Linked DNA regions of Stegostoma tigrinum. The protein of the gene in region 3 binds, or shares a complex with, the protein of the main gene of each other region. Links are inferred from orthologs where the notes say so. Each region holds a gene or a part of one and is shown on either strand. Other genes may lie near its edges. The genes, in order: semaphorin-6A-like, nrp1a and plexin-A2-like.

Region 1 (11,244 bases), on a different chromosome or scaffold from region 3:
GACCAAGCCAGGTTAGAACACCAGATTTCCTTCCTTAAAGACATTCACAAAGCAAATTTGCTTTTTATGACCATTGATGATGGTTTCAAAGTCATTGTTACTGAGTTTAGGTCTTAATTCCAGCTTTTATTGTTTGAATTTAAACTCCACCAGCTGACATGATGGGATTTGAGCTCACACCCTCAGACCTGGAGACGCTGAAGAGCCACATAACCATTTCAGTACCATTTCTACTGCTCCCTCCATCTCAACCCCACAACACCACCAGTGTGACATAACAGTTGCAGCAGTAAAACTGAAACTTTCAAAAATAAATACTTGCCATCCCATCAATAGTCTCCTGGATTCGATGGCCCTTCGTCCTACATTGTTTATACCAACCAACAAACACCAAGCTACACTGACCCCATTTAACTGCATTTAGGAATGCTGATTGCTTTACTGGTGTCTAATTTTGTGAATGGTGATACCCTCTGGTATCAAGTCATTATTCCTGTACTAGCCTTAACATAAGGATGCAATTTTGATATTCCTTGGAAATCGTTAAACAGCTGGCCTTAATTTTCTTTTCTACTGAAGTTTATCTCTCTCAGATACTGCGCCATACTGACATTGGACTCTACCATCCTTCCTGAAACTTGCCACACATCCTTAGAGAGCAATTGCAGCATCTAGATTCGGTTCTGCTGTATTACCAACATTTATCTTCCTCTTGTTTGTTCCTGATAGATGCAAGGGGGCTCTCAAAGTATGACTTGCAAAAAACAGAAACTTTCTGATCTTTAATTATTATCAGTTAATCAGCAGAAACTACTGCACATCTCCAGCTTCTTCCAATGACCTTTCAGTCTTGAAAATTGTGTGCGTTGTCACTGCATCGAAGCATCTTGTTTCTGTCATTTACATCCAACTGAATTTGACAACAATCTGAGAATTCTGATGACATATCCCCAAAAAAATTTCCCACAGGTCTCAAAAAACATGTATGCATTGTAAGATATGGTACACACAAAGTGCTTAATGCTAAGGGGCATACCCCCAGATTAGTGACCGTGCTTTCAGGATAAATACAAATGTACTGTCTGAAACATCCATACATTAATCACAGCTTGTAGCCATTACACTTATCTTTACTGACCTTGCAGGGTCATTAAACTTCATTCTAGTCATCAAGAGGTTGCTACTCATTTTGCCACTTCTTTCATATGGAACTAGAAACTCTGAGCACTCAGACCCAACATTGCATCTCCAACTTCCACCCTGTATTAATTTTCAGTTAAGAGGATATTCTTGACTTGTTCATGTTGGAACAAAGCCTTTATTTTACAATGCACTAATTTGAGTTTACAAAACTGCTTCATATGCTGAAGCTCCACCCCCATAAAGGCTTCCTTATTCACATATTTTCTGAACATCTTAGGCACAGTGTTCATTGCTTGGGCACTGGATTTTGATCCAGTCACTAATAAGCTGACCTTGTGGTGGGCCATTTCCAGGGTCAGTGGCAGAAACATTTACCACGCATTAAGTCCTCCTTTCTCTACGATACTTCTGGCAGCAGATCATGAAAATTGGAATGTTAGAGCCCAATAACTAACCAATTGAGCCATCAGTGCAGGATCCCAAAAAAAATGTCCCATTGTTAAAGGCTGGATTTTGGCTGCATTCCTCAAAGGGCTGAAGCGCTAGGGAAATACAAAGCATTCTTTTATATATATTGCAGAGTTTTTCAAATTAAATGGTTTTTTTCCTAAATTTAAGCAGCGTTGAAAGCAGCTATTGTAAAATGTTGTGATTTGTATTTGTCAGGGGAGAAACATCAATCAAATGTAAGAGTAATATGCATTTAGGATAAAAGAGACACATTAGATTTAATGTTTCAAAACATTTTTTCAAGGAATCTGCTGCGCACTCACATTTAGTACCATGCTTGAAAGTCTGATTTGTGCATTTATAACACAATTTGTGGATTTACCATTTCATGGTGCAATATAAAAGAAGTAGAACCAGCTTCTGGCAACAAAAGACCAGTTCAAGTTTTCCTCAAGCTGCCAAAATCAGGGCAGTCCCAATGGCAAACATAAATAGCGCTGGTTACTGATAGAAACATAGGAACAAGATCAGTTTATTCAGCCCCTTGAATATGCTCAACAGCTGAACTCAATCAGTTAAATATACATATAAATATGAACTAGATATATGCCTCAACTCCATTGCTCCATAGTACCATTGCCCAGAAATAATCAAGTTATAAATCTTGGATATTTAAATTGACTCTGTGGCCACAGGCTTGGTGGACAGAGCACTCCACATTATTATTGCACTTTGTGTGAAAATGTGTTTGTTGATACTGCATTTTACTGGCCCAATGCTATTTTAATTGTGGATCCTTGTTCTGGATTCTTGACCAAAGGAAATAGCTGATCCACATCTGCTTATTGAGGGATTGAGAGCCAGAGGGCAACAATTTCGGGTGATTGGCAAAAGAAGTAACTGCGGCATAAGGGGAATAAAATTTTCCATGGTGCATTCATTGATTTTTTAAAGCTGGTAATCTGCAGGTAAATCTTTCATTCCAATACGATATTTCTAGCAAGGTGTAGATCAAACTGTAGATACAGATCTGGGGCACTGGTTTCAGTCTTTTTGATAACATATTCATTTCAGTTCAGACGGCTATACTTTATTGCTGTTATCATGAACTGTCGCCAACTGTTATCAGGTGATCACTGCAGTCATCTTCAGTCACATGTATCTTTTTTAAAGCCATTTTAGTCCATGAAAGTATTAAAAATCAGATGACAGAAGTTGAAAATTCATTGTGTATTTTTAGCACTACCATAACACTTTCCCCATGAAAAGTTCTCTAAGATTCCTTTATTTTGTACATTGTAAAATCTATACACTGCTTATTATTTTAAACAAAAATAATCATTGGCAGAATTTTATGGATTTCACATTAAACTATAAATTATTTAGTCAGACTTCATCATTTGAATTCTATTTGCTGAACCATCAGTGACACAATAACAATACAATCCTTACTAAAGACTGTACAATTTTCTAAGAATGACATATTTTCAAAATCTCCAACCATTGCCATTGTTAAATGATATTAATGTTAACACTGCATAAAGTGTTATGATTATACTTTGATTTCTTGACTAACCTGATCTGACATCACTTATAATCTGACCTTCATAATGCAATATGTTCAAGCTCATTTATGCACTCAAATGGATGGCAGTGCAAGCAATACCTACCTCACCAGTGAGTTAATGCCAGATCTATTTTGAACAAATGCAATCATACTGGGGAAGCAGGGATGACAGTGCTAATCAAATCCCCCTTTTTTCTCCCTTATTACCTCATCTGACGGTAAGCTTTCCATCTGGATTGGGAGTTTCCCTGCTTCAATTTTATCTTGGCAAAATAGTCAATCACTAGTGAGTGGATTGATTCTTTTACCATAACTAGGACATTCCAAATTTCTCATTATTCTGAAGACATTAATTGGGTTCAATTCATATCATTTTGTCCAAATTAATTCCTGATGTTTATTGCGTTAGCCTAACTAGCACTAGGAACACTGCAATTACAGCAACATATTTAGGGTGGGAGACTAATTAGCTGGGTTTTCCATATCTGATTGGCCAAGCAAGATATTTCTCAGAGATAATGGGAACTGCAGATGCTGGAGAATCCAAGATAACAAAGTGTGGAGCTGAATGAACACAGCAGGCCAAGCGGCATCTTAGGAGCACAAAAGCTCCTTTTGTGCTCCTAAGGTGCTGCTCGGCCTGCTGTGTTCATCCAGCTCCACACTTTGTTATCCAAGATGTTTCTCATCCTCCATGGTCACACATTAATGCTACTTTTCCACAGTCATTTTTACAGTTCACCTTCTTGGGGGCCATTGTGTTAGAACCATTCTCATTATTATATTATTAAATTCTGTTTATTAACAACTAATTAGGCATACTCTTGAGTGCAGCTCCTAATGAACTGACACAGCATTTGAACTCAAAGAACCTGATTTAACAGAGTAAGAATGATGGGCACTAATTTGCAGTTACTCAGATTTTAGTGAAAACTCAGCTATGTTTGAACACTTAGTTGTGGAAACTGTAGAGATCCACCCAAGATTGACTATACCACTAAACTAAAACAGAGCACGTGCAGATGCTGGAAATCTGAATCAAAACCAGAAATTGCTGGAGAAACTCATCATTCTGGCAGCATCTGTGGGGCAAAAACAGAGTTAACGCCTTGTGTCCAGTGACGACTGGACATTAACTCTGCTTTCTCTGCATAATTGCTGCCAGACCTGCTGAGTTTCTCCAGCAACTTCTGTTCTTGTTGACTATACCATCACAGACCTCAGAAATGAAAGAGAGAATATTGGAGGGAATGTAGCTATAATAACAGCACCGTGTGATAAAATCACAGATTTAGTACAGTGAAATCAGATCAGCTGAAGTGATCAAAATTAAATAAAGGCTGAGTCCACAAAATCTTAGTCCATCACCAGTTTTAAGCCAGTATTTGTTCCACATAATTCGCAGATATGTCAATCTAGAAAACTGCTCAATAGCTTCAAAGTACTAGCTCACCTTCCACTAAAAGCTAACAATTTAACAAGTCTGATAATGAATCATGAAAGAAATATTTGCAATTATAGCCTTTTTCACAACCATCTGATGTCTTAAACTTCTTTATAGCCAATGAAGCACTGTTGCAGTACAGAGGCCAACATAGCAGCCAATTTGCACAAAGCAGCCTCCCCACAAGCTGCAATGTGTCAATGGATGGATAGTATGTTTTTGTGACGTTGAGTGAAGGACTAAATGGGAAATTAGAGACAAGCCTCCAACTCTTTCTAAGGTAGTATCACATGATATCTTACGCCCATCCCAGAGAGCACACAGGGGCTGTGTTCTTATCCAAGAGGCATCACCTTGAAAAGTTGTACACTGAACTGTCAGCCTTGATTTTTGACTTAAACCTTGGTATGGAACATGAACCCGGAATCGTATGATTCATTAAAAAGCGTGTTACCAATGAAACTAGAGTTGACAATACAGAAGTAAATACTTTATATTGGCTTTAAAACTTAAAGTATAGGTTTATTCAACAGTATTTCATATGCTGAAGGTAAATAAATGGAAGGACATGAAAATTTGAAACAGAAAGACAAATGCTGAAGATATAAAACCAGCAACTTTTTTTAATGAGTACATTGGCATGCTTGAATAGAAAGTTATAGATTTTAACTTTCTAGCTCAGTCTTATGCAGTCCTGTTTTACAACATGGGTGAAATTATTAAGTTGTGAAAAGTAAAATCAAAGTGCGTCATTCAGATTTTCAATCAACTTAAGAAAATATATAATGAATGCAATAGTCACTCATGACATACAAGCTTTTCTGGGTATTCTATCTTAACGTAATGAAGAGACTTGTACACTGTGAGCGTCTCTCAAATGATTTCATCTGACCTCCTTGGTTATGGTAGGAGCACTCACTGCAGCAGGTTCAGGGATGGGGTGTGGTGGTGGTGGTTTGGGAAGGCAGACATATTGCAATCCCCAAAAAGTCTTCAATGGCAAAACAGGCAAGGAAGACAGTGTTACATCAAGTGCAAAGACTGTAGGGGCCAATTGGGACCTGTTGTAGTTTAATACGTCTCTGGAATCTGATCAGCAGTTGACAAGGTCTCCCTGTTAAAAAAAAGCAATGCACAGGCTACTAAAGGGCCCATTTCCCAAGTCCTATGGTGTTGGAGGATTGGCAATGGCTGTAAACCAAGGAATCCCTCATTAATAATCTGCACACAGTCATTCTGCATAAAGGTTATTGTGCGTATTGGGACAAACGTGTTTCTGGGTAGCAGCAAGTGTTTCATAAAGCTGTGTCATGCTTTCAGTCCCAGCCTTTCATTCATGAAGCAAAACAAATCCACTAAGCCCAATTCTGCCCTGTGTGTCCAAAGATTTTTAGCTCAAAAATGAGCCTGTTCAGTTAGGTGTAGATGCTCAGTAGGAACCGTGATATCGTCCTCTAATTCAAGAGTGACTGCAAATGTCCAAAATCAAACAGAGAATTGCAGGTGCTGGAGATTTGAATCAAAGCCAGAAGTTGCTGGAGAAACTCAGCAGGTCTCAGAAACTCAGGCTGCAACTTGGAAAGAGAAAACAAAGTTATTGTTTCCAGTCCAGTGACCCTTGGGCAAAACTCAAGGTATCCAACCATCTTGTCCAGTTAACCAACCTGTTCTGTCTCCTCTTATAACATTCCTTTTTCTGGATCCAAGGTTAATGTTTAAGCCACACTCCATTTTAACTTGCTTAAATATCTAGGCTAGCATCTGTCTGCAGTACCAAAAGTTCTACCTCTTCTCTGATTTTTTTTACCATCGTTATATTCCCTGACTCTCAGACATCCATTCCCCCTTCCTTCTGACTGCGCCATTCAGTTTTATTTTCCCTTCAGTGTCAACCTTGCACTAAGCGTGGAACTAACCGATTTCCTCCTTGGGAATTTGCCTACAGTTTAGAATCATACAGTGCAGAAGGAGGACGTTCGACATGCACTGAACCTAGAAAAGAGCATCCCATCCGGAACCGATAGCGCACATCCCTGTAGCTCCACATTTACCATGACTAATCCACCCAAACTGCACATCCCTGGATACTACGGGACATTTTTACCCTGCCAAACCCGCTTAATCTGCACATCTTTGGACAGTGGGAGGACCCGGCGGAAACCCTGGCAAACACGGGGAGAAAGTGCAAACACTGTGAAGCAGCAATGTTAACCACTGAGTCATTATTGCCACCCTTACAATGGAAAAAAATCATTAACAGCAACAGTCGGGGTTATTGAGGTTCTGATTTGTGGAGGGGTTTTGTTTTGGCAGCAAATACTGATATACATCGTATGCATTCTGGGTTAAGTAACGACCCACGTGCATAATTGAATGATATCTTACATGTAAATACGTATTATTTATTGTACACGTGGAATGAATGTTTCATTCATGCTCAAAGCACAAAAGGGTCGTGGTTGAGACATTGAAAGTATGGATTTTTGTGGTGGAAGAAAGCCGCTATTGCGTTGTTTGGTATGTGCAGGTTTATTTGAATTTTTAAACTGGCCCCAAATTAAATATCGCCTGACAACAAGGATCCAGCTCCAATTAGACCACCACGGATACTGCCGGACGTGTCTGTTATTTTCCCCAGGTCAATTTCTTATTACATACTTGGAATAGGTAAGACTTGAACCTAGACCTCCTGATTTTAAAGTAGGGACACTTACCACTGCGCTATCTTATTGTACTTTATTCGCAGTAGTTCTGCAGCCATTAATTTGGCCCAGTTACCCCGGAAAACCGGGTGAGGGACCTGCAGCAATTTCAAAGGTAGTTCGCCAGAATAATTGGTTTGCAGCGACCGGAAGAAGGCGAAAACTGTGGTGTAGTTAAAATGAAACAATCCTTTCCTCTCTATAAATGTGCTTTATTGAACAAAATAATGTAACTTCGGATCTGGAATTCGAGTTTTTTTTGCGCGCTTCTCTACTTCTTCAGACTTCGTCGTCTTTCCATCTTTCTCTATTTGTACGTTTTTTTATGAAGCAGTTCGCAGGTCATTTCATATCGGTGGTCTTTCAATCACTTATTGCCTCTGCTAATTATCCCCAACCCCCTCTCCTATTTCAACCCTTTTTGAAATGCTTGTTGATGCCTGATAAAGCGTCTACATCCAAACTGCCAATTAAAACAAAAAAAACAGGCAGAAACAAGTTAGTGACATGATTTCTATTTACAGTTTGTTGTTTTTCTCCCTGCAGCGTTTTGTTTTTATGTCGAATTTCCAGCATTTGAACGGGATTTTTAAAAAGTTCTTTTTTGCAGATTTTTATTTAGAGGAGTAGCTGGATGCAAGTAAAATGTTTTAATTCGGAAAATTCAAAAAAAAAGCTCAGGTAGCGCAAAATATGCAAATCAAATGGAAAGAGGGGCAAGAGTGGAACTTAGAATAGAAAGGTTTCTTCTGTCGCTGTGAGCGAGAGTTTGTTTTTGAGTCGACCAAAATGTAACGTTTTGTTCTGCTATTTAAGAAGAGACATGTACCTTGTATTGTTTACAAACATTAATAGGTGACATCTCCGCCAACCTAACTGTTTCAAAATGGGTTGCCTCAAAGTAAGCCTAGGCAGGGAGTCATTTTCCAAAGTGTCAATGGACTTTCAAGGGATCTGTTTAATCACTTCCCGGGAAGTGAGCATTTCATTCTCCAAACGCCTCCATAAATGTTTCAGAGGATCTAGAACCCGGTCTGGGCTGCGACTGGCGGACTGGTTGCCGTGTGCGAACGTCCCGATCCGGTCCATAGGAAGGAATCCAGTCCTGGATTTGAGTGCCGTCTCCTTCCAAATCGGATAGCCAGTGACAGCTGGAGTTGGAAGGCAAGGATGAGGGGGAAGGAGTGGGGCAGCCGCTCAGCACACAGCCTGCCTGCCCTCCACAGCTCCAATTAAGATGATTCGGAGCGTGTGTGTCCAAGCCCGTGTTCGCCTGCTGTGACAGGATACCGGACGAGGAACTGGAGACTTATAACCTTCCCCAACAGCCCGGAGAAGAGAGCGGCTGCGACTTGACCTAAGTCCGCCCGCTTTGGTAATCGGGTCGAAATTGACGAAGCTTTCCCGAGTGGATTTCCGGGGGGGGTTTGGAGGGGGATCTGTTATTTTTGTTTTGGAGCAGCAGAAGTTCCCCATGCTGTCGGTCTGGTTGGGGCGAACAACCGTGATACTGTTCCCCCCTTGTCAAGACAAGGCATCTGCATCCTCAGAGCGCCTGACAGGCACTGTGTGTGTGGATCACATTGGCCAGAGCCAGCCTTAAATGGATTACTAATGAGGCAGCAGTGCCGCTGGTTCGACTCCCCAAACCTAGAAGGTAGAGTGCTGTACTGTTCCTTCCAGAGATACTAGCCTCTTTTTGTTTCTGTATGTTGCGAGCACCGGTTCTTTGTTATTTTGTGTGTGCCTTACCATGAGATTTGTTCAACTAATTGTTCCCCTCTCACCAGTGATCATACCCACGGGGAGCCGCGTGTATATTGTCGCTGGGGCTGATAGCTCTGTTGAGATTCTGATCCTCAGCCCCTGACAGTAGGCTCCAGAGAATTGGTGCTAACTGTCTACTGGTGTTAAATATCGCCTTTGGATTTATGTTTGTTCTTGTTAAATGCTGAGTCCAGTCTTAATATTATTTCCTCCTAGAATAAATCAATTTTCTATCTGGTACTTAACGATCGTGCACAAAGCACTATGCTTTTTTTTTAAAAAAGCAAAATCTAATGGTTGGCTACTTGTCAATTGCTAAACTTGCCTTCAAAATTCTCGCGACCTCGTTTTGTTTCTTTTGAACAGTGATTATTAAAAGACAGTATTTTTGAACGCCGGAGCGTACGAATATATTTTCCTATTTGCCAAGACTTGATAATACTAGTTAGGAGCCCGATTGTGTTTACAAAAGGGCTTGGACAGGCGGAGTAGGTGAGGATCCAGGATTTCGAAGCAAGCGTCCAGATTTGTACAGTGTGTGGACCGCTGGCTTCGCTCCGTTCTCTGGGAGTGGACGCGGGGATGTAGCATTGCTACATTATATGTATGAAGGGGAGAGGAACTTCTTTGAGTATTTAAAAACAAACGAGAGCGTAAGTTTGCAAATTCTCCACGTGTTGTATTTTTTTTGGTCTGGTCTGACAGTAGCTTAGTTGGAGATATTAAATGCCCGGAAACAGGAGGGTCCCTTGTGTGAGCGGACGGGGAAAGAGAGCGAGTGAAAGTTTGGTCGTTCAGTTGCTATTGCAATGTGTGCGACTAGCTGTGCACGTCAAGTGTCGGGCAGTCTTTCTCTGAGCTGGGGGTGGATCTGAAGCGCGGAGCATGGGGTCAGGCCAGGGGTTAGTGCCCAACAGCTGCTTTTGCATCCAAAATACTGTGTGGAATAACATCACAGGTACCGAGCAAATTTTAATGGGGAGGGGCTGCGGAGGGGACGTTCCTTTTGGCTTCCACTGTCTGTTGTGAAGTGTTGGCGGGGGCGGCGGGGTGGGGAGGAGGTAAACAAACCTGTTTCAAGAAATACTTGATCCGCATGTTGATAAAATAATCTGAAGCGTGCGGCGGGTAGGATACCTTGACTGCAGTGGAAGTTATCTCCAGAGACAGCCTTCGCACAGCCAGCGTCAGAATTAAGCTGACCTGAGTTGGTGCATATTCTGATATTTGAGTATCATTATGTGCAGGGGAAGGTTAAGTGAATCTGGTAGTCAACAATGACCAACCACAAAACAAAATCAGAGTGGAAGAATGTGCCCTGTCAAAATTGGGTCTGTGTACGTGTGGATTCTACAGTCTTGAGTTCTGGCTCAGCTAGGGATCTTCATCTATTAATCATGGAAGCTACTTTATTTATTCAGTTTCCATAGTTTCAAAGCCTCAGATAGTGTTTTGGTGTCTTGGGAATGGCTCGAAATACAGTTGGGCCACATGTTCACAGCCTTTCTGGCAGCAATCTGGACCTTTTTCATTGTTTTTAAATTAAAGAAGCTTCAGTGTTTCAGGGGCCTTTTTCCTTTTATCTTTGCCTCTGTGTTGAACTTTGGGTGAGGAGACTTGACTCTCGTTTGCTAAACTGCTGCTGGTTCGTTTAGGCAGCAGAAACATTTTATTTATCAAATGACACATGTAGAGTAAAATGATGGGCTCTCCAATCAGCATTGAGTATTTGAAGAAGCCAGTCATGATTTCATGATTATTCATCAGCAGATGCTGTGTTTTCTCATTACAACCTTATGCCGGAAACAGATATTCCATATGGATGTGTCTGGCACTTAGAAGTGTTAACCCAGCTTTTTGAGCAAACTGCTCAGTGGCTTTCCCATAGGCCACGACTGAGTGACAGACTGGCTCATTTTGTTAAGCAGAGCCTCGTCCATGTCTGAGGATGTTGGTGTTTGTATACATGAGGGTGTGTTTATGTATAAGTTCCACACCCTTATGTTCTTGTCTCAATGCTGGTGCAGGAATCATGACTGCCCTTTCAGAAAAGGGTTGTGTGATCGTGGGAGGTGCGATCAGCATTCTATTCCCCTACCCATGTTGTGCCAAAGGGATGGGGCTTGCTGGTCCTTCCAGTTTTCCCTCTTTGGCCCTCTTTTTGTTCAGTG
Region 2 (10,855 bases), on a different chromosome or scaffold from region 3:
TCTGAAATGGGGAGGGGGAAAGGAGCGATGAAGGGTCTAGGCCTGAAACGTCAGCTTTTGAGCTCGGTAAGATGCTGCTTGGCCTGCTGTTATCTGGGAAATATATAGAGGAAAGGGGGCGGGCTGGGGAAGGATGGTGATAGGTGAGTGTAGGTAGGGATTGGCCAGTAGGATGAGTAGGAGAGATGTCATTATTGGTTGTTATATTTCAAGTAGCTAAACATCCAACTTGCATCTAACAAAGTGAAAACAGTAGTTCTCTTCACATTATGCAGAAACTGGTCTGTGTGTAAAACTTGTAATGATCAATAGTGGTGGGAGTCTTTCCCAAAATCATGTACTGGCTGAATCACAAATAAACCAATTCCAATGACATAATGCACACTCCTGTTGCCTTCCCAGCAAAACACTTCTTTTGCCTAACCACGTGCGTTACATCCATTTCTAAGAGTAACTGGAATGATGAACAATCCTGAGGTTTAACAGAAACTAGCAGAAAATAGCCCAGTACAGGGAAACCGTGAAGCGTCTGACATGTGGGAGCCGGTGTGTTAGTTGTGATGCGTGCATTTTTGATATAGAGAAGGACATTAGCCTGGTCTACACTGCGCAGATAAGCAAATAGGGTCGACGCTCGGTCTCAGCAAGTTCCAGTAAATATTTTGTAACCACTAGAGGTCACTATATCTAAATACGACCCAATCTGGTTTGACTCACTTGCAGTCCCGGTCCTCCAGATCAAAGTGAGGGTTGAAATTGATCATTATCCGTTGGGAAACTTCGGGTGCTCGGATCACCCAGGCACAGCTTTCCCGGGGGTAGTAGGAATTGGGATATCCAGGAGAGTTCAGGTAGTCAGGACTGGTGATCTGTATAGTTTCCCCACACCGATCTACATGAGATAACAGCACATTTATAGAAACCAAACCGACGGAATCTCCAGCCTCCCTTCATATCTCGGACTCGCTAATAAGGATTCACGTTTTCTTCCGCGCAGAATTAGCAGTTCTCTAAACTCACCGGATTCTGTAAAATACTTGGAAAGAATCTTGCCCAGTTGTATAAATTGCTTTGACAGAATCTTTATCTGTTTTCATAAAATACTTAGACTGACTCTTTGCCTTGTTTTACAAAATACTTGGTCAGAATCCTGCCCTGGTTTATAACACGCTTTGCCAGAATATTGATCCAAATGGGACCAGATCAGTTTAGGATAACTAGTCGGCGCGGAAGAGATGGACTGATGGGTCTGTTTCTGTGTTCCAACTCTCTGTTTTCATAAAATACTCGGACTATATCTTGCCTTGTTTCTTAAAAAGACTTGAGCAGAATGCTGCCCTGTTTTGTAAAATATCTGGCAGATTTTGAAACTCCGCACATTTCCCTGTAATTCAGGCGCGAGGTGTGTGTTTTCCACGGGCAATGACCCATCCCTGTGAGCAGGAGGCTATCAGTACCACGGAGAATCCTGATTTACTGAAGGCGGCAGCTCACAGTCAGAACGGATTCTGAGCATGGAAAGTTGTTTATTTTGTTTTAACATTTTATTTCATCCAGAACCAGGTGAAAGACCTGGACCTTCACAAAACGAGGTTTTCTTCCTCGACTTCAAGGTGCTTGGAGGGTTTAGATCTCTGAAGAATCCCGAGAAAGAAAATGTTTTAGATTGTAGCTAGCCCCGGCTTTCCCCAGTGCCGGCCCGAATTGACCACCAACTCTTCCATACACACGCACACACCCACACAGATAGACACACACCCACACAGACATACACAGACACATGCACATAAACACAGACCCCCACACACTGACAGACACACACATACCCATACACATCCACAGATAGATACACACATGCACACAGACACACACCCACACAGATAGACACACACCCACACAGATACACACACAGAAACACAGACACATGCACATAAACACAGACCCACACACAGATACACACATACCCATACACATCCACAGATAGATACACACACCCACACAGATAGACACACACCCACACTGACATACATACACAGAAACACAGACACATGCACATAAACACAGACCCACACACTGATAGACACACACATACCCATACACATCCACAGATAGATACACACATGCACACATACACACACCCACACAGATAGACACACACCCACACTGACATACACACACAGAAACACAGACACATGCACATAAACACAGACCCACTGATAGACATTGATAGACACACACATACCCATACACAGATAGATACACACATGCACACATACACACACCCACACTGACATACATACACATAAACACAGACCCACACAGACTGATAGACACACACATACCCATACACATCCACAGATATATACACATGCGCACACAGACACACACACACATATAGGCACACAGACGCGGACAGACACAAACCCAACCTACAGCCATACATACACACACCTACATAAACATATACACACCACGCTCACACATGGTGACACACTCACCCACACACAAACACAGCCCACACATACACATCGATTGGTGGGAGTCGGACAATGGGAGATTCCACCCTCTTCTCACTCGTCTTCAATCTCAAGGTGGGTGTAGAGGGGATTCACTAAAGGAACAGAGAGCTGGCCCGGGAGAAGTGGACATGAAATTCCTCCGGCATGGAGGAACAGTGCACAGATTGGTCAGCGTTCTGTTTGGAGAGTTCTCCCACTTGGAAAAGGGACCGAAAGACTGTGGTTTTAACATTCGCAACATCCCGTGCACGGCGCTAAACATTCCGCAGTCAAAGTTTGTTCTGAACAACACCGGGTTAGTCATGTCGTGGCATCACTTCAACTCCAGCCCGCTGTAGCTGGCTACCTGTCCTGCTCCCTCCCATCTCCACACTGACCCCCTCCCGTTTGACTGAGAAAGGACTGAGGCTTGTGGCCGGGCTACGCCGGGCTGCGGGAGAGAGCGGGAAGGAGGCGCAAAGCGGCTGGGGAAGCGCCGGGAGGGGGACGGGGAGATCCGCTTTGCTCGTTTATTGCTGCGGCCAGCAGGCTGTGTGTGTGTGTGTGTGTGTGTGAAAGAACCGCTTCGTGACCTGGTTCAGCGTGTCTGTGCAGATAAGAAGGAGCCGGGGTGTCTTCCTCATCTAGCTCACGGCTGTCAGTTCAGCCAAGATTCAAGCTGAAGAGGCGCCGGAGTGTAAGAGCTGGATATAAGATCTGACCCCTCACAGCTTTATTCAGCGACACACACATACACAAAGCAGCTCCAGAAATTCCCCCAAAAGCTCATTCTTATTTTCTGGACAAACATTAGTGCTCAAATCCTAACCTCTCCTGATCACTGCAGGGAGAGTTCGCGTTTATCTCGTCTTAAAAATAGCCTTAACATGCCGAGTCTCAGAACAGGAAGTGCTGGAGGAACGCAGGGAGCCAGAAATGAAATGTTCACCCCCTTTTGCAGCTCAGTGCAGCACACAGCAGTCAGTCGTCTCCAACACTTTTCTGGAGGTTTTGCTTTTGTTTTGTTACACGTTGTTCTGGTTTTCGTTTGGCCATCGCTCGCCTGGGCCCTGCCCGAAAAGAAACCGCTTTCCCGGCAACTGGTGGCAGCGTGAGGCGTGCTCCTGGGGAGGGAGTCACATGGACGGGAGCCCAGTGTGCCAGGCGCTGGGGAAAGCAGACCGAAAGATCTCAGTGAGCTCCCCTCTTAACTCGGGATGAGGGAGAGGACACTGACGGCGTGCTCACTGTCCGCGTCGCTCTCCCTGGGAAGGGGCAGTGTCTGAGAAAGTCACAACAGGTCTCAGAAAGTCATTCTTTGCCCCTAGTCCAGGCTCCTGCCTTCGACTGGGCAGCGTCGCCAGGCTGAGGGTACCTTCAGGTTCTGGCGTCTCCGGATAAACCTGCAAAATGCCACTTGCCTCCACACAGTCCCCCCGCCGCCCCCTCTCCCTGTGTGGGGAGACTTCAGCAGCCTGTTGTAAAACGAAACGAGGAGAAGCGAGCCCCTCCAGATCCTCGCAGTGTACGCTATACTGCGTGCGCCCTGCCGAGTGGACAGAGACCCTACCCATTTGCTGGTCTGTCCTCCCTTTAGTGGTTGTGGTATCGGGGCTCAGGGGGCCGAAACGACAGGGAAAAAGCGGCGCCGTTAATACTCACCGTTTCGGACCGCCCCGGACACACCGATGGCCACGGCCAGTAGGTAGAGGGAGAGTTGATGCTTCCCCATTTGGCAACTGGAGATTGCGAACGAAAACAGCGCGCACACACAGCGACAGGGAGAGAGAGAGAGAGAGGGAGGAAAGCCGAGAAGCGATAACAACAACGAAGGGCGCACTTGAGTTGAATTGGTTACTTTGGGAGAATCTGGGCGATCTGCAACCTCATCCTTTAGCTTCCTCTCGCCGCTTGCGGATACACGGTTCCTGTTGCAATGTCTGGCGTTGCCATTTCCTAAAAAAATCCCGAGCCAATAAAAGCTTTGCACAGACAACCCCCCCCCCCTTCCTTCCCTAACACACACACACACACACACACAGAGGGAGACTCCTCACTGCTGAGCAGATAGGAGAAGCAGCCAGCTGGGAGACAGAAATAAAAACTGTCTAGGAAATATTCTTAAAACAATTAAAAATGTCAAATCCACAAAGATCTGAAACTAGTTCGAGGCAGGAAAAAGAAGCGTTCACATGCTTATCTAATTATAAATGATGCAAGACTGGGTACTTAGCACCGCTAAAGGGAGAAATAAGACCAGCCAGACTTGTCCACACTCCTTCCCCACAGTCTCACAGTCCACCGCCTGAGACACCTCTATTAATGTATTCACAAAGGGAGAGGAAGATTGGCTGTCAGTATAATACAGCAGATCTACAAAGGGATACAGGGTGGGAGAGAGATACAGAAAGACACGGAGAGCTGGGAGATCAGCTCCAAGCCACGCCAAGTCACTGAAAACTCAAAGCGCCTCTCCTGGCCCAACTCAATTGCGAAATAGAAGTCAGACGCTACGGTTCCTTCAGCGGCATTTCTGTGACAGGCCAGCCAGCAAACAGAGAGAGAAAGGAACGCCCATGCTCCGGCAGGCGAACAAACTCTTTTTCAAAAATACTAATGATTTGGTCAATGAGTAAAGGGCGAAGCGCCTGCGGACTCCTCTCCACAGACACAAACAAACACACGCTTGCTCAGCGCCGCGCAACTGCTCCAGGTGATCAACACTTTCAGGGAGAAATACACTACACTGAAAAGGTCGGCAGACTCGGGCTGTTTTTCTTAAGGCAGTCTACGGAGGGAGGTCTGCCAAATGATTTGACTGCATGACTTGCAATTCCCTGTTATATGCAGCTGTAAAAAACAAAACGTTATTGTATTATGTGTCTCGTGAACACCATATACACACCATCAGCAAACACGCTTCACACGCACACAATAATAGTGTGCAAACTTCTCACACTAATACTCTGCACACTCAAGCACTGAATCACTGTGCAAACTTCTCACTGATACTCTGCACACTCAAACACTGAATTCCTGTGCAAACTTCTCACACTAATACTCTACACACTCAAGCACTGAATCACTGTGCAAACTTCACACTAATACTCTGCACACTCAAACACTGAATTCCTGTGCAAACTTCACACTAACACTGCACATTCACAGAATTCCTGTGCAAAATTTTCACACTAAGCTGTGCACACTCAAACACAGAATTCTTGTGCAAACTTTTTACACTAATTCTGTGCACATTCAAACACAAAATTCCTATGCAAATTTTTCACTAATTCTGTGCACATTCAAACACAGAATTCCAGTGCAAATGCTGTGTGCACGCTTCAGAAACGCCCTCATTTGATGCGCATAACAATTTTACCGTATACACTGAAACTGAATTTGTTTGGAGCAAAATCTCTGAAGCATTTGCTCTGGCTGGCAGCCTGTCATTGGTTCGGACGGAACTGTTTTACCTGCCCGGACTCAGGGAGACGAAACTCTTCCAGCTGAAGGGATGGGGCGAAAAGAACAGACATTTCTAAAAACAAAACTTCATTCACCCAGCTGGGAAGGCGAACCGGCTGCAGCAACAAGTGGCAGTCCCATCCCTCTTCGTGAAACTCCGGGCTTACATACCTACCTGAGGAGCAATTTTGTCGACAACAATAAAATGTGGCTGTAAAATAATTTCAAACGATTTCACATTCCCCAACATGCGAACCTGGCCAGATGCCGCGCCCACATATCCGAGCTTGTTGATGTGGGGATAAGGGAACCATCTCCCAAACGCGGCAGAACTTTCCGTACCGGCCAACAGGAGGCGCACGGCTTCAGCGCCAGATAATCTGAATCATGGGCGTCTCAGGCACGCATGTGGCTCACAGTCATTATGGTGGTCCCTCTCAGTCGTGCTCATTGTCAGACTGTCTTCCATGAACCATGTTTGGATGTATGTTGTCTGAAGGTGGGAAAAGTGCGCTACAAATGCCATTGACCATCCTTGATTGGCGAACTGTTCATTCTCAGCGCAGAAAGTTGTCATTGCCTCGGGCCATATTTAGTGGACATTTGTTAATTTCACACCTTGTCAATCATTTCTTGTCATCAAATGTCCAAAACGCATATTTTTTCACATCTTTTTATTTAAAACCACACAAATGCCTCCGGCATTTTCTCCCAGATCTTCCCTAGCACTCTTGCCGATCATACTGCTATGGAAACGGGCAAATTATTATGTCAGACATTTGGACATGGCGGAATCTTGTTGGAATACAGTTCCTCGAGCTGCTCCCAGGGTTTGGGATGGGTGACTGTTTGCCGAAGTGGTTCGGACCGTGTCACACCGAGAAAACAAAGATTCCTGCATAGTCGAAAGCTGAGCTTACTGTTCCCAGTTAAGGTAGCAGCAGAAGGAAGTGGGTACATTCGGCCTCGATATCTCTATCGTTGGCAGGACAAGATCAGTCAGAGCCTCCCGCTTTGGTCACTCTCTACCTATGCTTGCTGGAAAGCGTATACTTGCTGAGGTCCTACCTCGGCTATACATCCATCTTGTGGATGATACAGCTACACACCACAGGGCAGCTGAGGACAGGAGATGGGAGCACAGCGGTAACATCACATGACGAGCAACCTAATACCTAATCAAGCACTGTAGCGTCCACATCCCAGCATAGGAATTGGTGAAAATGTAAGATGATAACAGAGCAGGGAGGTTATGTAGGAGCCGTATAGGACTTTAAGATAATAAAATGTGAGGCTGGATGAACACAGCAGGCCCAGCAGCATCTCAGGAGCACAAAAGCTGACGTTTCAGGCCTCGACCCTTCATCAGAGAGGGGGATGGGGTGAGGGTTCTGGAATAAATAGGGAGAGAGGGGGAGGCGGACCGAAGATGGAGAGAAAAGAAGATAGGTGGAGAGGAGAGTATAGATGGGTAGGTAGTGAGGGGATAGGTCAGTCCAGGGAAGACGGACAGGTGAAGGAGGTGGGATGAGGTTAGTAGGTAGGAGATGGAGGTGCGACTTGGGGTGGGAGGAAGGGATGGGTGAGAGGAAGAACAGGTGAGGGAGGCAGAGACAGGCTGGACTGGTTTTGGGATGCAGTGGGTGGAGGGGAAGAGCTGGGCTGGTTGTGTGGTGCAGTGGGGGGAGGGGACGAGCGGGCTGGTTTTGGAATGCGGTGGGGGAAGGGGAGATTTTGAAGCTGGTGAAGTCCACATTGATACCATTGGGCTGCAGGGTTCCCAAGCAGAATATGAGTTGCTGTTCGGTGCAACCTTTGGGTAGCATCATTGTGGCACTGCAGGAGGCCCATGATGGACATGTCATCTAGAGAATGGGAGGGCGTGTGGAAATGGTTCGCGACTGGGAGGTGCAGTTGTATATTTCCGGAGAGACCACTCTCTCCGTGACTCCCTTGTTCGCTCCACACTGTCCTCCAACCCCACCACACCCGGCACCTTCCCCTGCAACCGCAGGAAATGCTACACTTGCCCCCACACCTCCTCCCTCACCCCTATCCCAGGCCCCAAGATGACTTTACACATTAAGCAGAGGTTCACCTGCACATCTGCCCATGTGGTATACTGTATCCATTGTACCCGGTGTGGCTTCCTCTACATTGGGGAAACCAAGCGGAGGCTTGGGGACCGCTTTGCAGAACACCTCCGCTCAGTTCGCAATAAACAACTGCACCTCCCAGTCACGAACCATTTCCACTCCCCCTCCCATTCTTTAGATGACGTGTCCATCATGGGCCTCTTGCAGTGCCACAATGATGCCACCCGAAGGTTGCAGGAACAGCAACTCATATTCCGCTAGGGAACCCTGCAGCCCAATGGTATCAATGTGGACTTCACCAGCTTCAAAATCTCCCCTTCCCCCACCGCATCCCAAAACCAGCCCAATTCGTCCCATCCCCCCACTGCACCACACAACCAGCCCAGCTCGTCCCCTCCACCCACTGCACCCCAAAATCAGTCTAGCCTGTCTCTGCCTCCCTAACTTGTTCTTCCTCTCACCCATCCCTTCCTCCCACCCCAAGCCGCACCTCCATTTCCTACCTACTAACCTCATCCCACCTCCTTGACCTGTCCGTCTTCCCTGGACTGACCTATCCCCTCCCTACCTCCCCACCTATACTGTCCTCTCTACCTGTCTTCTTTTCTCTCCATCTTCGGTCCGCCTCCCCCTCTTTCCCTATTTATTCCAGAACCCTCTCCCCATCCCCCTCTCTGATGAAGGGTCTAGGCCCGAAACGTCAGCTTTTGTGCTCCTGAGATGCTGCTTGGCCTGCTGTGTTCATCCAGCCTCACATTTTATTATCTTGGATTCTCCAGCATCTGCAGTTCCCATTATCACTGTATAGGACTTTAGCCAGGCCGTAGCTGGAGTAGTGAAGTAGATACACTAGGATGGAACAATTCAGCTTTGGAGAAAGGCTGGATTGCTTTTTTTGGAACAAAAGATATTGATGGGGAACCTGTTAGAGAACTATAGGGTTATGGGGGCATGGTCAGGGGACTAGACAGCAGATGTTCTCCTTAGTCGAAGGATCAATGACAAGAGCTTCATTTTAATGTGCAAGGCAGGAGGTTTCAAGAGCGGATTTGAGGAAAATCTATCTCACCCAGAGGGTGGTGAGAATCTGGAATACACTGCCGGCAGGCTCTTTGAGGTGGAAAACCTCACAATCTTTAAAAAGTATTTGAATGAACACTTGATCTGGCATAACATTCAAGGGTATGGGTTTTACATTTGTAAGCGAGACTAGTGTAGGTAGTAGTGTCTTTTTGGTGGTGCAGACCCAACGGGCCAAAGAGCCTGTTCTGTGCTGCATAATTCCATGACTCTACGAATGAGTTCTTGACTGAGCTTTGAGGATGTAAACAAGGCAAATAAAACCTGTCTTCACATGTCAGGATCTTCAAGAGGGAAGTCTTTGTTATTTGCTGTGGTCTTTGCTGGCAAAGCTGCCATTTAATGCCCACGCCTTGAGAAGACAGTGATGAACCTTCTTCTTGAAACACTGCAGGATTCCCAGGATTTTATCCCAGTGATAATTAAAGGATGCCAACATATCACCAGGGTGTATGATGTGTAGGTGATGTTGTTCCTAGCACCTACTGCGCTTGATCTTCCAGATGGCAGAAAACGAAGGAGTAAGAGTAATAATGCAGCCACTGTAAAGGCAGTAGATTTTTAAGCCTGTGGGTGGGATGTTAATTAAGCAGACTGAATGACCTATGCAGGCGATTGGAGTCTATTCCTTCGCGTTTTCAGCTTTCACCTTATAGACAGTACAGAGGCTTTGAGGAGTCAGGAGCTACATCATATGCTGCAGCATATCCAACCTCTAACAGATAAATAAATTTCTAAGTGTACTTCCACTTTCCATTACCTGTTAACACATGAGTACTAAAAGCAAACCACCAATTTTTAACCATGCAGTGATTGTTAACATTAAAAAACTCAAAATTTTTCAAAATAGATGAAATATCTCAAAATATGACATCTACACACCATGTGGGAATGTTGCTTTACTGAAAAACTAGCTAATGTACTAACACTTCTTCTATGTGAAAATTATATTTTTTTATGTGCCGGTTGCATGGTGAGAGCAAGTAGATCTGAATGCAACTTGCTTGTTAATACTTGATGTTCAGGATTTGGAACAAGCTCCTAAGGTTGATAAGTAACATAGCTGTCAACGAAACAAAATGGAATTTCTGTCCTTGCCTAAAGGAAGTGGTAACTGGTGAAGGTTGCCATGTCGCCAGAGATAGTGACAAATTTAATTTGCCTTTCTTGTCAATTTCAAAGGAAATGCCACATGAAAATTCTGCTAATTATTTAGCATTCAATAGGAAGCCAATGAGCTGTCAATATATTTTTGACCCTTCTATAACATCTCCATTCATGACTCTCCCTGTCTTCACATTTAGAAGGCAGCATCAGCTATTATCATTTAAATTGAAATAATAATGTCAAATTACACTTTAAGTCTATAAAATTAATTTTGATTGTCCTTACATTTACTCTAGTTAGTTTAGTTAATCGGTGATTTGAAATGACCATTGAACATTACTGTCTAAAGCTTTTCTCCCGAGATGTACAAGTTAGTATATCACAGCATTGTTCCTTCTTTACCCACAATATAGCAATAAACAGGCACTGATTTTATTGAGCATTTACTGTAATGAGGATTACCATTATATGAATTATAAATTATACCAGCAGTACACTGGTACCTTAAGAACTTGCAAGAAAATTGACCATGTTCATGGAAACTGTTTAAAAAATTATGTTCGGGTCTCATAGGCAAATCATAGGCGTGCCATAGTCTAATGGTGTAGG
Region 3 (10,146 bases):
CTGCACTTTACCACATGCAGATTTATAAGAAGTCGGTTAGAGCTTTGCATAGGAGTTGAAAAAGAACTTCATCCTATAAAAGTACTTGCAAAAGATCCTCAATATTTTAAGTAAAAACATAAAATGTTGTAAACACTTAACCAGCCAGGCAGCATCTATGGATAGAAATAGAGTTAGCATTTGATGACCCTTCACTTTTTACAGCCTTACTTGTCAGGTGGTGGTGTACAATTCTTGGTACACCAATGTTTGTAATCAAGGCTAAATTATCGCTTGAATATCCAGTCATTATAAAGCCTTCGGGACTGAATTGGAATGGAAAGACTGGAAGTGCATGTCGATAGGTGAAGAATTGATGTATTTTCAAAGGGTTAGTAATTAAAGCAATGATACTACTTTCATTCCATGTTTAGGTCTGAGCCTTGTTTGTGAAGATAATTGCCCTCTCCATTTTTGCTCATCATTATTGGATGCTGACTAGAATGCTTCAGTGATTGACAAATGCTCTAAGTGTTTGATAATGTTAAATATGCTGCATTATTCAACTAAAAAAAATCAGATTTATATAAGATCCTGCTTAATAATATTAAAATATCCCATAGTGCATCCATGGAGTATCAATCAAAATTTGATACTGCACCATTCAATGGATGAATGTTAGGTATAACATGATGCCCATACATTGTTCACAGGAAGATTAAAAGTTCAATCGTTTCTGTGTCATGAGATACCTGTTCCTTGTTAAGTGGAACTAGAGGCTCTGTAACTAATTTTATGCAAGATATTGAAAAGATAACAAGTCGTACTCCACTTGATGACTGTGTTAGGACATCGGGTGAGACAGGATTGGCCTCAGTTCAAGTATATTAAACAGTGTTACATGCTACAAAAAGTAACTGAGGTCACACATCAAGAACGGTTAATCAGGTGAGATATCAATCAGTTACCAGGAAGTTTGGTATTATACTCCAAAATTAATCTGAACAAATTTGCATTAAGTGGAGAAAATATGTGCTTCAAAGGAAATTAAATACTGATTTCAGCATATTTCTGTTACTCAGCCTAATTTTGTATAATTTTTAGTTGATGTGTATCCATGCATAGCCAGATGCATTGCATGATAGTTTAACTATATCCATCCAAAGTTATTGCATATGCTAGTTTTGTATTGTACAAAGTTAGATACAGTGTCATGCAACATAATTTATCATTGGCAATAGGCTCTATATTAACCTCTATGTATCTTTTCAGTTTCCATAACCTGAGATGCTTTAGAGATCATAAATATCTGTGTTAGTCTGTAGTTTACTCTTCGTACTGCAGAGTTTTGCTTTTGTCTTTTACAGATGTCTGGCCAGGGGTGTCTCTCATTCTTACAACTTGCAACTGGCATATGTTGGAAAGATTTACAAGGTGAAACTCAACCTGTTTGACTACATCAGAACACATCTTCCTTGGCCATCAAATACTTGGAATGGGATTTGAACCTGCAGCTTCTATTTCAGAGGCAGAGACACAAGCCACTGTGGCAAAATACACCTCCTCTCCCATGTATCTACATATCTTATAACATATATTCTGGTTTTTCATTTTTAAATTGGAGATCATAGAATCCCTAAAATGTGGAAACAGGCCCTTTGGCCCAACAACCCCACAATGACCCTCAAAGCATCCCACCCAGACCCATCTCCCTATAACCCACCTAATCTACACATCCCTGAACACTAGGGGCAATTTTCCATGGTGAAACCACCTAGCCTGCACACTTTTGGACTGTAGGAGGAAACTGTAGCACCCAGGGGAAACCCACACAGGCATGGGGACAATATGCAAACTCCACACAGACAGTCACCTGAGGGTGGAATTGGGTCCCTAGTGCTGTGAGGCAGCAGTGCTAACAACTGAGCCACCATGCCTCCCCAAATCTATAATATCAAAAGGTATAGTAACAAGAGAAGGCCATTTGGCCCTTTGAGCCTCCTCCATGATTCAGTAGGATCATGACTGATCCAATATTCCTCACATCAACTTTCCTGCCCTTTCCTTGTAAACCTTGATTCCTCTACTCATCAAGAATGTATCTCTTTTGGTTTTTCTTTCAGTTTTTATTAAGAATGTATCTCAGCCTAGATTGTGACTCCAGACCTACAGCAATGGTTAACAGCCCTCTGGCCAATTAAGGATGGACAATAAATGCTGGCCTAGCCAGCGATGCCCCAAACCAATGAATTAATAAAAATACCTCAAATATTCATAAGGATCTGCCCCCACAGCTCTCTGTGGCAAGGAATTCCAAAGACTCACAACCTACTGAGAGAAGAAATTTGTCCTCAACTCAGTCTGAAATTGGCACCCCTTTATTCTGAGACTATGCCCTCTGGTCCTCGTCTCTTCCATGAGGGGAAACATTCTCTTAGTATTTACCCTGTCAAACTCCTTAAGAATCCTATATCTTTCAACGAGACCTCCTCTTGTTCTTCCAAACTCCAGTGAATAGAGTCCTAAACTGTATCTTCGTTTTTTTCTCAGAAGGTAATTCCCCCATACTAGGGATCATCCAAATGAAATTTCTCTAAATTCCTCCAATGAAATGATACATTTCCTTAAATAAGGTGACCGAAGCTGCTCACAGTGCCTCCAATGTGGTCTTTTTAACATCTTGCACAGTTGCAGTAAAATGAGTATCAGCAACTTCAATAGTATGCATTGATGGTACAAATTGCAATAAACAACAAACGAGTATTCATAACTATCAGAAATAATGGGAACTGCAGATGCTGGAGAATCTAAGATAACAAAGTGCGAAGCTGGATGAACACAGCAGGCCAAACAGCATCTCAGGAGCACAAAAGCTGACGTTTTGGGCCTAGACCCCTCATCAGAAAGGGTCTAGGCCTGAAACGTCAGCTTTTGTGCTCCTGAGATGCTGCTTGGCTTGCTGTGTTCATCCAGCTTCACACTTTGTTAAACTAGTATTCATGTTGCTCCTGTTCTGTCTCATGCATAATACTCACTGATTAACTTTCCATGAAGTGCATTCATCATTTCAGGCATATGTTTCACCAAATGTGTGTAGCTTGGTCTCATCAGCAGAAAATGAGCTGAATAATCTTTTTTTGTGATTTTCGTTAAGGAACAGAGAAGGGTGTGAATTTTTTATGATGCTTAGCAGATCTCTGAGTTTCTCTCAATTGATTCTTGGAATGTGGATGATGCTGGCAAGGTTGTGTTTATTGGGCACTCTTGAAAATGTATGCCCTCTTTTTCAAATTGCTGTACTGGAATCTTTCACATCAACCTGCCCAGAAAGAGGGGTTCACGGTTTATTAAGACAATCAGAAAATGTTGGAAGTGCTCAATAGGTGTCAGCATGCATGGAGAGTGCAACAGAGTTAACGTTCCACATTTTGGCACATCTGAAGCCAAAGGAAATAAGGTTGTCAAAGTCCTACCAGACCACAGGGCTGCTGTCTCATTACAGAGTGACAACTGGTGGCTGTTTAACCTGTGGTCACCGTACCTCGGGGAAGGGGAGAAGCTGAGGAAGGCAGTCCTCCATCATAACATGTGGGAATGGTGTGAGAATTGAAACTTCACTGTTGGCAACTCTCCACATCACAGACCAAATGACCAGCCAACTGAGGTAACCAACTCCTTTAAAACAGGGATAATGGGAACTGCAGATGCTGGAGAATCCAAGATAATAAAGTGTGAAGCTGGATGAACACAGCAGGCCAAGCAGAATCTCAGGAGCACAAAAGCTGACGTTTCGGGCCTAGACCCTTCATCAGAGAGGGGATGGGGTGTGGGTTCTGGAATAAATAGGGAGAGAGGGGGAGGCGGACCGAAGATGGAGAGAAAAGAAGATAGGTTGAGAGGAGTGTATAGGTGGGGAGGGGATAGGTCAGTCCAGGGAAGACGGACAGGTCAAGGAGGTGGGATGAGGTTAGTAGGTAGGAAATGGAGGTGCAGCTTGGGGTGGGAGGAAGGGATGGCTGAGAGGAAGAACAGGTTAGGGAGGCAGAGACAGGTTGGACTGGTTTTGGGAAGCAGTGGGTGGAGGGGAAGAGCTGGGCTGGTTGTGTGGTGCAGTGGGGGGATGGGACGAACTGGGCTGGTTTAGGGGTGCGGTGGGGGAAGGGGAGATTTTGAAGCTGGTGAAGTCCACATTGATACCGGGGTTCCCAAACGGAATATGAGTTGCTGTTCCTGCAAACTTCGGGTGGCATCGTTGTGGCACTGCAGGAGGCCCATGACGGACATGTCATCTAAAGAATGGGAGGGGGAGTTGAAATGGTTTGCGACTGGGAGGTGCAGTTGTTTATTGTGAACCGAGCCCCCAAGACGACTTTCCATATTAAGCAGAGGTTCACCTGCACATCTGCCAATGTGGTATACTGTATCCATTGTCCCCGGTGTGGCTTCCTCTACATTGGGGAAACCAAGCGGAGGCTTGGGGACCGCTTTGCAGAACACCTCCGCTCGGTTCGCAGTAAACAACTGCACCTCCCAGTCGCGAACCATTTCAACTCCCCCTTCCATTCCTCAGACGACATGCCCATCATGGGCTTCCTGCAGTGCCACAATGATGCCACCTGAAGGTTGCAGGAACAGCAACTCATGTTGGGAACCCTGCAGCCGAATGGTATCAATGTGCACTTCACCAGCGTCAAAATTTCCCCTTCCCCCACTGCATCCCAAAACCAGCCCAGTTCGTCCCCTCCCTCCACTGCACCACACAACCAGCCCAGCTTTTCCTCTCCATCCACTGTATCCCAAAACCAGTCCAGCCTGTCTCTGCCTCCCTAACCTGTTCTTCCTCTCACCCATCCCTTCCTCCCACCCCAAGCCGCACCTCCATCTCCTACCTACTAACCTCATCCCACCTCCTTGACCTGTCTGTCTACCCTGGACTGACCTATCCCCTCCCTACCTCCCCACCTATATTCTCCTCTCCACCTATCTTCTTTTTTCTCCATCTTTGGTCCGCCTTCCCCTCTCTCCCTATTTATTCCAGAACCCTCACCCCATCCCCTCTCTGATGACAGGTCTAGGCCCGAAACGTCAGCTTTTGTGCTCCTGAGATGCTGCTTGGCCTGCTGTGTTCATCCAGCTTCACACTTTATTATCCTTTAAAACAAGGTTGACCTCGCCGATAAGCACTGACATTTTAAAAACCGAAAGAGCTGTGAATGCTGGAAAACAGAAACTGCTTGAAAACCTCAGCAGATCTGGCAGCATCTGTGGAGAGAAACTGGAGTTAAAATTTCCGGTCCAGTTAACCTTGCTCAGAACAAATGCATTATGCCACCAGTGGAGTTCCTCTTGGTAACCTTGTGAATTTTGAGGAATAACTATGAGTAGTTTATCTAATAGTAAAAAAACCTTTCTGCAAATTCATGCATTCAAAGACTTCATGGCGATTGACTGACTGTCCTGCTGTGGTAACAGTGGGATAGTCGTGAAAGTGATGGCGGGGTATGCTAATGAGTACGTAAAATGCTAATAAACGTAATAGGCTAATGAGTGCGTGGTATGCTAATTGTGCGTATGCTAATATGCGCTATGCTAATGAACTAGCGGCAGAGCTGTGCCTGCGCTGGGACCAGGAGAGAGAGAGAGAGAGAAAAGGACGGAGCTGCTCTGAAGAACTACATTTAAAAGAGGAAGCTGAACGTAGTCTGTTCAGGTCTGAAAGCCGGGAACGCGCTCAGAGGAAAGTGCAGCCAGCCAGAAGCGGAGCATTGGAACTGCCAGCCAGAAAAGAAGAATTGGTAAAAGAAACCACAGGCAGTGAGTGGAATGTTTTCAATGATTAATGTAGAGAGAGCGAGAGGGCAGAACGGAGTAGACAGAAAAAAAATGCACTGAGCATTTTTCTTTTGAAACCAAGTATGAGTGGGACATTTCTGGTCGGAGTGCAGCGACAGGCAAACAGGGGTATGGGGTGACTGGTGGGAAAGGGAGGCGGCAGGTTCTGGGGGAAGAAGTTGCAGCCCACAGTTAACTGGCAGAAAGGGAGGGATGAAGGAGTCCTGTTTGCAGGGAGAGCTGAGATACAGAGAAGGAGGCAGATGGTCCCGGGATCCAGAAACACGGGCACAGAGAACCCAGAGCCTCAACAAAATCCCAAACTGTTCGCTCGCTCGCCCTGGAGAGCCTGGCATCAGGAGCGCTGTAAAGAAGCGAGTGAGTGAGTGTCTGTCGGCTGGTCAGCGATTGAGTTCCTGATCGGTTTGCTCCATATACTGCACTGTAAACAGAGGATGGGACCGAGAAAGGCAAGTGACTGATGGATGGGGAGATTACAGAAAAGCAGATGGGAGGCTCCAACTAGGATGAAATTGCAATAAATCTGTCAATTCATTCCTAATAGTTTTTCAACCAGGGCGAATTAGGCGTTTTGAAATGTGTCAGTAGCTTGTGCGGACCAAATCACTTTCTAATAACTCCTTTATTTATTACTCCTGTATTATCTCTGCTTGACATTTTTGACTACAGTTGGGAACCATGCATTTGTGGCTTTCGAAAGAAATTGTTTCGGTGAAGTATAATCCTCGGGGAGATTCTGAATGCACCCTGGGTGAATGTAATTGGACTGTGGTTTTACATGGATCTGTGGGGAAGGTAAAGGTGTTTCGAGTCAGATTCGGTTCAGAGAGTAACAAGGCGAAATAGTCATGTGTGAGGAAACGTTCTGTCAGTAACAAGGTTTGAGTAAGGAGAGAGCAAGAAAGATGTTTTTTTTAAATATATAGGGGAAATCTATATGAATAAAACATAATGCGGAGTCTATACATGTTGAAGTTCTTGTGCAGTGCATTTACTTATTCTTTAATGGTGTGTAGCAAACAGTGTGGTACAGTTCCCTGGACATCGGGGATGTTGGATCAATGCATAGCAGTAACAGATGCCTTTTTTCTGTTACTTTCCTCTACTGATGGATATAGCCAAAAGGGATCTGTTTAATTACATTGTAATATGCTACAGCTATGGAGCAGATTCAGAAAGAGAACAGAATACACTGTGATAGGAAAATGCCCCAAAGCAGTATTTCTTCTTGCAAATGACCTGAATTACAATCTACCTCCAAAAGCAGTTTTAAAACTTATTTCAGGCGATATTTTACAGACTTTTTATTTTAGCTTATACTTTTTTTTGTTTAACTGGCATTCATTCTTGGGCGTCTCTTTAGGGGTCAGGTCGCTTTGCCGAGAAAGAAATTGTTCGCAGCAGGGGGAAGTGGAGGACAATTGTACTGCTCAAATGTGCCTCCTGGTGGCTCAGGAATCATCACTGACCATGTCTACAGATGTGCTTATAAACAGGAGCTGGAAGGTGAAAGGAATAATGACAGAAGGGAAGCTAGAGAAATAATGCTCTTTCTTTCAAACAAAGAGCAAAACAAAGGTTGTGAATAAAGTCTTGTCTTAACAGGACAACTGGCAAGTTTTTAACACGATTATCAGATACTGTTGGTATTGTTTTCAGGCAGTGGAGCTTATAGTTTATACATGGGCACATATTTGAACATATCTAGAAGTATAGTCATCTGTTTTTTGGCACACTTCTGGCATCCTGGAATCTTCTGCATGAAGGACCCAGAAAACTAAGTTTGAAAAGCAGAGGCAGTCTGAAAAAAGTGAAAGGGAAAAGTGGTGGAGGGTGGGGGGAGCGGAAGACGTTCCCCATCCCACCACTACCACCACCAAAATCTCACGACCAAACCACCATTCGTGAAGGATTACCTTAAAGAATACTTCGCTGCTATACTGAAGTCTTGTTTTTTAGTTTAGTCTAGTTTCATGTAACAGAAAAGTGAGCAGAAAATTTATTATCCTTACCTGTAATTGTATTAACATGTTCCACACGTCTGGATTTTATATATAACAAAGATGAACGATCGGTGGTCCAAGTTCTGTGTTCTTCCAATACCTGCCTTCGTATTGGGTGATAGGAGACTTGCTTCCAGAAGCATTACTGAATTTGCAATTTCCCCTTGCCTGTAGCTCTCCAAACTGTTTTGCAGTGATCTGTGCTGCAGTACAGAGTTAGATTCAGCGTTCCATGGTTGAACTGTTCAGAACAGTCAGTAAACTTGAATGGCTAAATGGATGAGAATTGCTCTTGGAGATGTATGAACAGCCTTCCATGATTACAGTCAGTTATTTAGCATTGTGATGTGCCTTTAAACATTTGTACAATGAATGCCGCTGTGAAGTCTAAGATTAACAATTGTCTTCTCAAGTGATTGTATTAGCTCATTTTTTTCAAATCAGTCTAATATTGGCAAAGTAAATATTTGCAGTCACTTGCTATACCATTTCAATTTGTGAAGATGTTAATTTGCAAAGCTGTAAAGACAGCAAGCCTATAAATCCAGCTAAAAGACTAGTAGGTACAAATTATTTTCCACCATCACCACCAACTCCCATCCAATTATTTCCCCTTGCCTTCAGAAGGAACTTCACACTTCTATATTATCACCATAGGTGCTACCTTATCCTTTTGCATTTTACATGCAAGGTCATGCTTTATTTGAGTATTGGTAGAAAGTGCCGGAATTGTTGATTGTAGGGCACGCTTAGCCAGTTCTTGAATGTGTTTGTGTTCAAAATTCCTAATGTACTTTTTTTTTGGCAAGGATTGCAGCACAGTGACCATTAGGAAAAGCCTTGGCTGATTTACATTCTCCATTGCAAATGTAAAGTGTCAGGGCCAATTGTAGTGACCTGCTGCAATAATACCGGCAACCTCCATTAACACAGCACCTTTAGTGAAATAAAACATCTCGACGCACTTCGCAGGAGTATTATAGAACAAAGTGTGGCGATGAGCCAAGTATGAAGACATTAGGTCAGGTAGGTTTTGAGAAGTGAACTTGTATACAGAAAGAGAGGAACAGAAAGTGGAAGGAACTGTTGCTCCAAAAGAGATCAAAAAAATAGGATCCAACCCTAGGATTGTGAGATTCTTTAGTGCATAAGGCAGAGAACTTAAACCTGTTGAGCAATTGGGGGAGCTCTTGGACCAAACCTTTTCCCACTCCAGATCAAATATAAGATGCAGAAACTCATAGCGACCATTATTCTTCAAGTAATGTTGGGAGTGAGAAAGCTTTCTCTGATCCTGTTAAGCAAACTCTGCTTAAGAATCTGGTTATGTTTCTGATATTTATGTTTAAAAAAGAAGTGCATGTTTTACAAGCAAAAAAGAACATTCAGTTTTCAGCACTATAATTCATACCATCCAGTCATTTTGAAAAGGAAGGTTCATGCATGTCATGAGCTATAAGGTCTGAGTTTGGATTTGGCCTTGAATGAGGGCCTGGCTGGCAAGATTATGATTTTTTGACATTTATGCCCGAGCTTCCATGATGATTTTGCAGCCATGTGCAGATCACTGGGTAATGCACTGACTGGAAGACAGGAAAGAAAATATGATGCAGGTTTCACTTGGATTGAATTTGGTGACATTTATGGGAGGACGTTGAGATTCTTTGACTGCCAGCTTTGCAATGACAGTTACTACACTTGCAGTCCCCTCCGAAGCTTTCTCCATTTAGTCCCATTGTATACTAACAAATGGAAGGACAGTAACAATAGAGGAAAATGCAACAAGTTTTGAGGGCCCAACTAAACCAATTAATATTACAAGAATACGTTTTGAATGACAACTTTGAAGGTTTTTGGAATCAGCTCTTGCAGTTATTAAATTGAGAAGTCCTGTGGGAGTTGCAGGTGACAGTGGCCTCTTTATATTGACTTCTCCAGTTCTCCTGTTGAAGAATGTGAAAATCTTGCCAGCATCAGTACCTTTCCTCACTTGATGATTTTGAAAGGCTTTAATAATTTATTTTGAAAATGTAAGTAAATAGTATTCTACTTATTATTTTTGATATTTTGGATGAAATTAATATAGCTTTGAGTATCATTAAGTCTTGATTTAAAGCAGAAAAAAATATGTTTTTTGAGCAAAAGGGTTTCTAGAGGAAGCAATTATTTTGGAATTCCTCTCTAAATATTCCTACTTTAAACTAAGACTCTAGCAGTTTGCTACCTATAAAAAGATGAATTTCTTGGTAATGAATCTTCCTTTTGTATTCCAATACTTCTAAATTTTTAGTGAAAGTGTGTGAAGTCCTTG

What was found.
Region 1: the proteins of plexin-A2-like (region 3) and semaphorin-6A-like are in contact, whole or in part, in a crystal structure (PDB 3AL8), measured with the Mus musculus proteins. The link is inferred for Stegostoma tigrinum from reciprocal best matches to the Homo sapiens genes PLXNA2 and SEMA6A. Residues at the interface, in NP_032908.2 of Mus musculus: Ala93, Cys94, Tyr95, Pro96, Lys155, Gln192, Asp193, Tyr194, Asp220, Phe221, Val222, Pro229, Ser230, Asp231, Leu386, Lys389, Val391, Thr394, Lys395, Ala396, Pro397, Val398, Leu407, Asp408, Ile409, Asn410, Gln411; in NP_061214.2 of Mus musculus: Arg108, Met109, Lys110, Gly111, Met162, Ala163, Thr188, Phe190, Leu191, Ile193, Tyr198, Thr206, Arg208, His212, Asp213, Ser214, Glu219, Gln266, Arg267, Glu270, Lys271, Lys393.
Region 2: the proteins of plexin-A2-like (region 3) and nrp1a are in contact, whole or in part, in a crystal structure (PDB 4GZA), measured with the Mus musculus proteins. The link is inferred for Stegostoma tigrinum from reciprocal best matches to the Homo sapiens genes PLXNA2 and NRP1. Residues at the interface, in NP_032908.2 of Mus musculus: Asp273, Leu274, Phe275, Glu306, Lys341, Gly342, Gln343, Lys344, Gln345, His348, Pro350; in NP_032763.2 of Mus musculus: Glu78, Arg80, Asp81, Lys83, Tyr84, Asp126, Tyr127, Glu128, Thr129.

What each region holds. Positions count from the first base shown.
Region 1 is NC_081356.1:76,489,793-76,501,036, forward strand, and holds the start of semaphorin-6A-like, read left to right. Parts: upstream 1-7,103; 5' UTR 7,104-7,121; intron 7,122-7,176; exon of another isoform or gene 7,177-7,271; intron 7,272-8,431; exon of another isoform or gene 8,432-8,963; intron 8,964-9,641; exon of another isoform or gene 9,642-9,726; intron 9,727-9,946; exon of another isoform or gene 9,947-10,031; intron 10,032-11,237; exon of another isoform or gene 11,238-11,244. UniProt on the Homo sapiens protein: Cell surface receptor for PLXNA2 that plays an important role in cell-cell signaling. Required for normal granule cell migration in the developing cerebellum.
Region 2 is NC_081355.1:129,160,909-129,171,763, forward strand, and holds the start of nrp1a (neuropilin-1a), read right to left. Parts: upstream 5,293-10,855; 5' UTR 4,231-5,292; coding exon 4,161-4,230; intron 893-4,160; coding exon 718-892; intron 1-717. UniProt on the Homo sapiens protein: Cell-surface receptor involved in the development of the cardiovascular system, in angiogenesis, in the formation of certain neuronal circuits and in organogenesis outside the nervous system. Mediates the chemorepulsant activity of semaphorins.
Region 3 is NC_081374.1:20,435,379-20,445,524, reverse strand, and holds the start of plexin-A2-like, read left to right. Parts: upstream 1-5,583; 5' UTR 5,584-5,793; intron 5,794-10,146. UniProt on the Homo sapiens protein: Coreceptor for SEMA3A and SEMA6A. Necessary for signaling by SEMA6A and class 3 semaphorins and subsequent remodeling of the cytoskeleton. Plays a role in axon guidance, invasive growth and cell migration.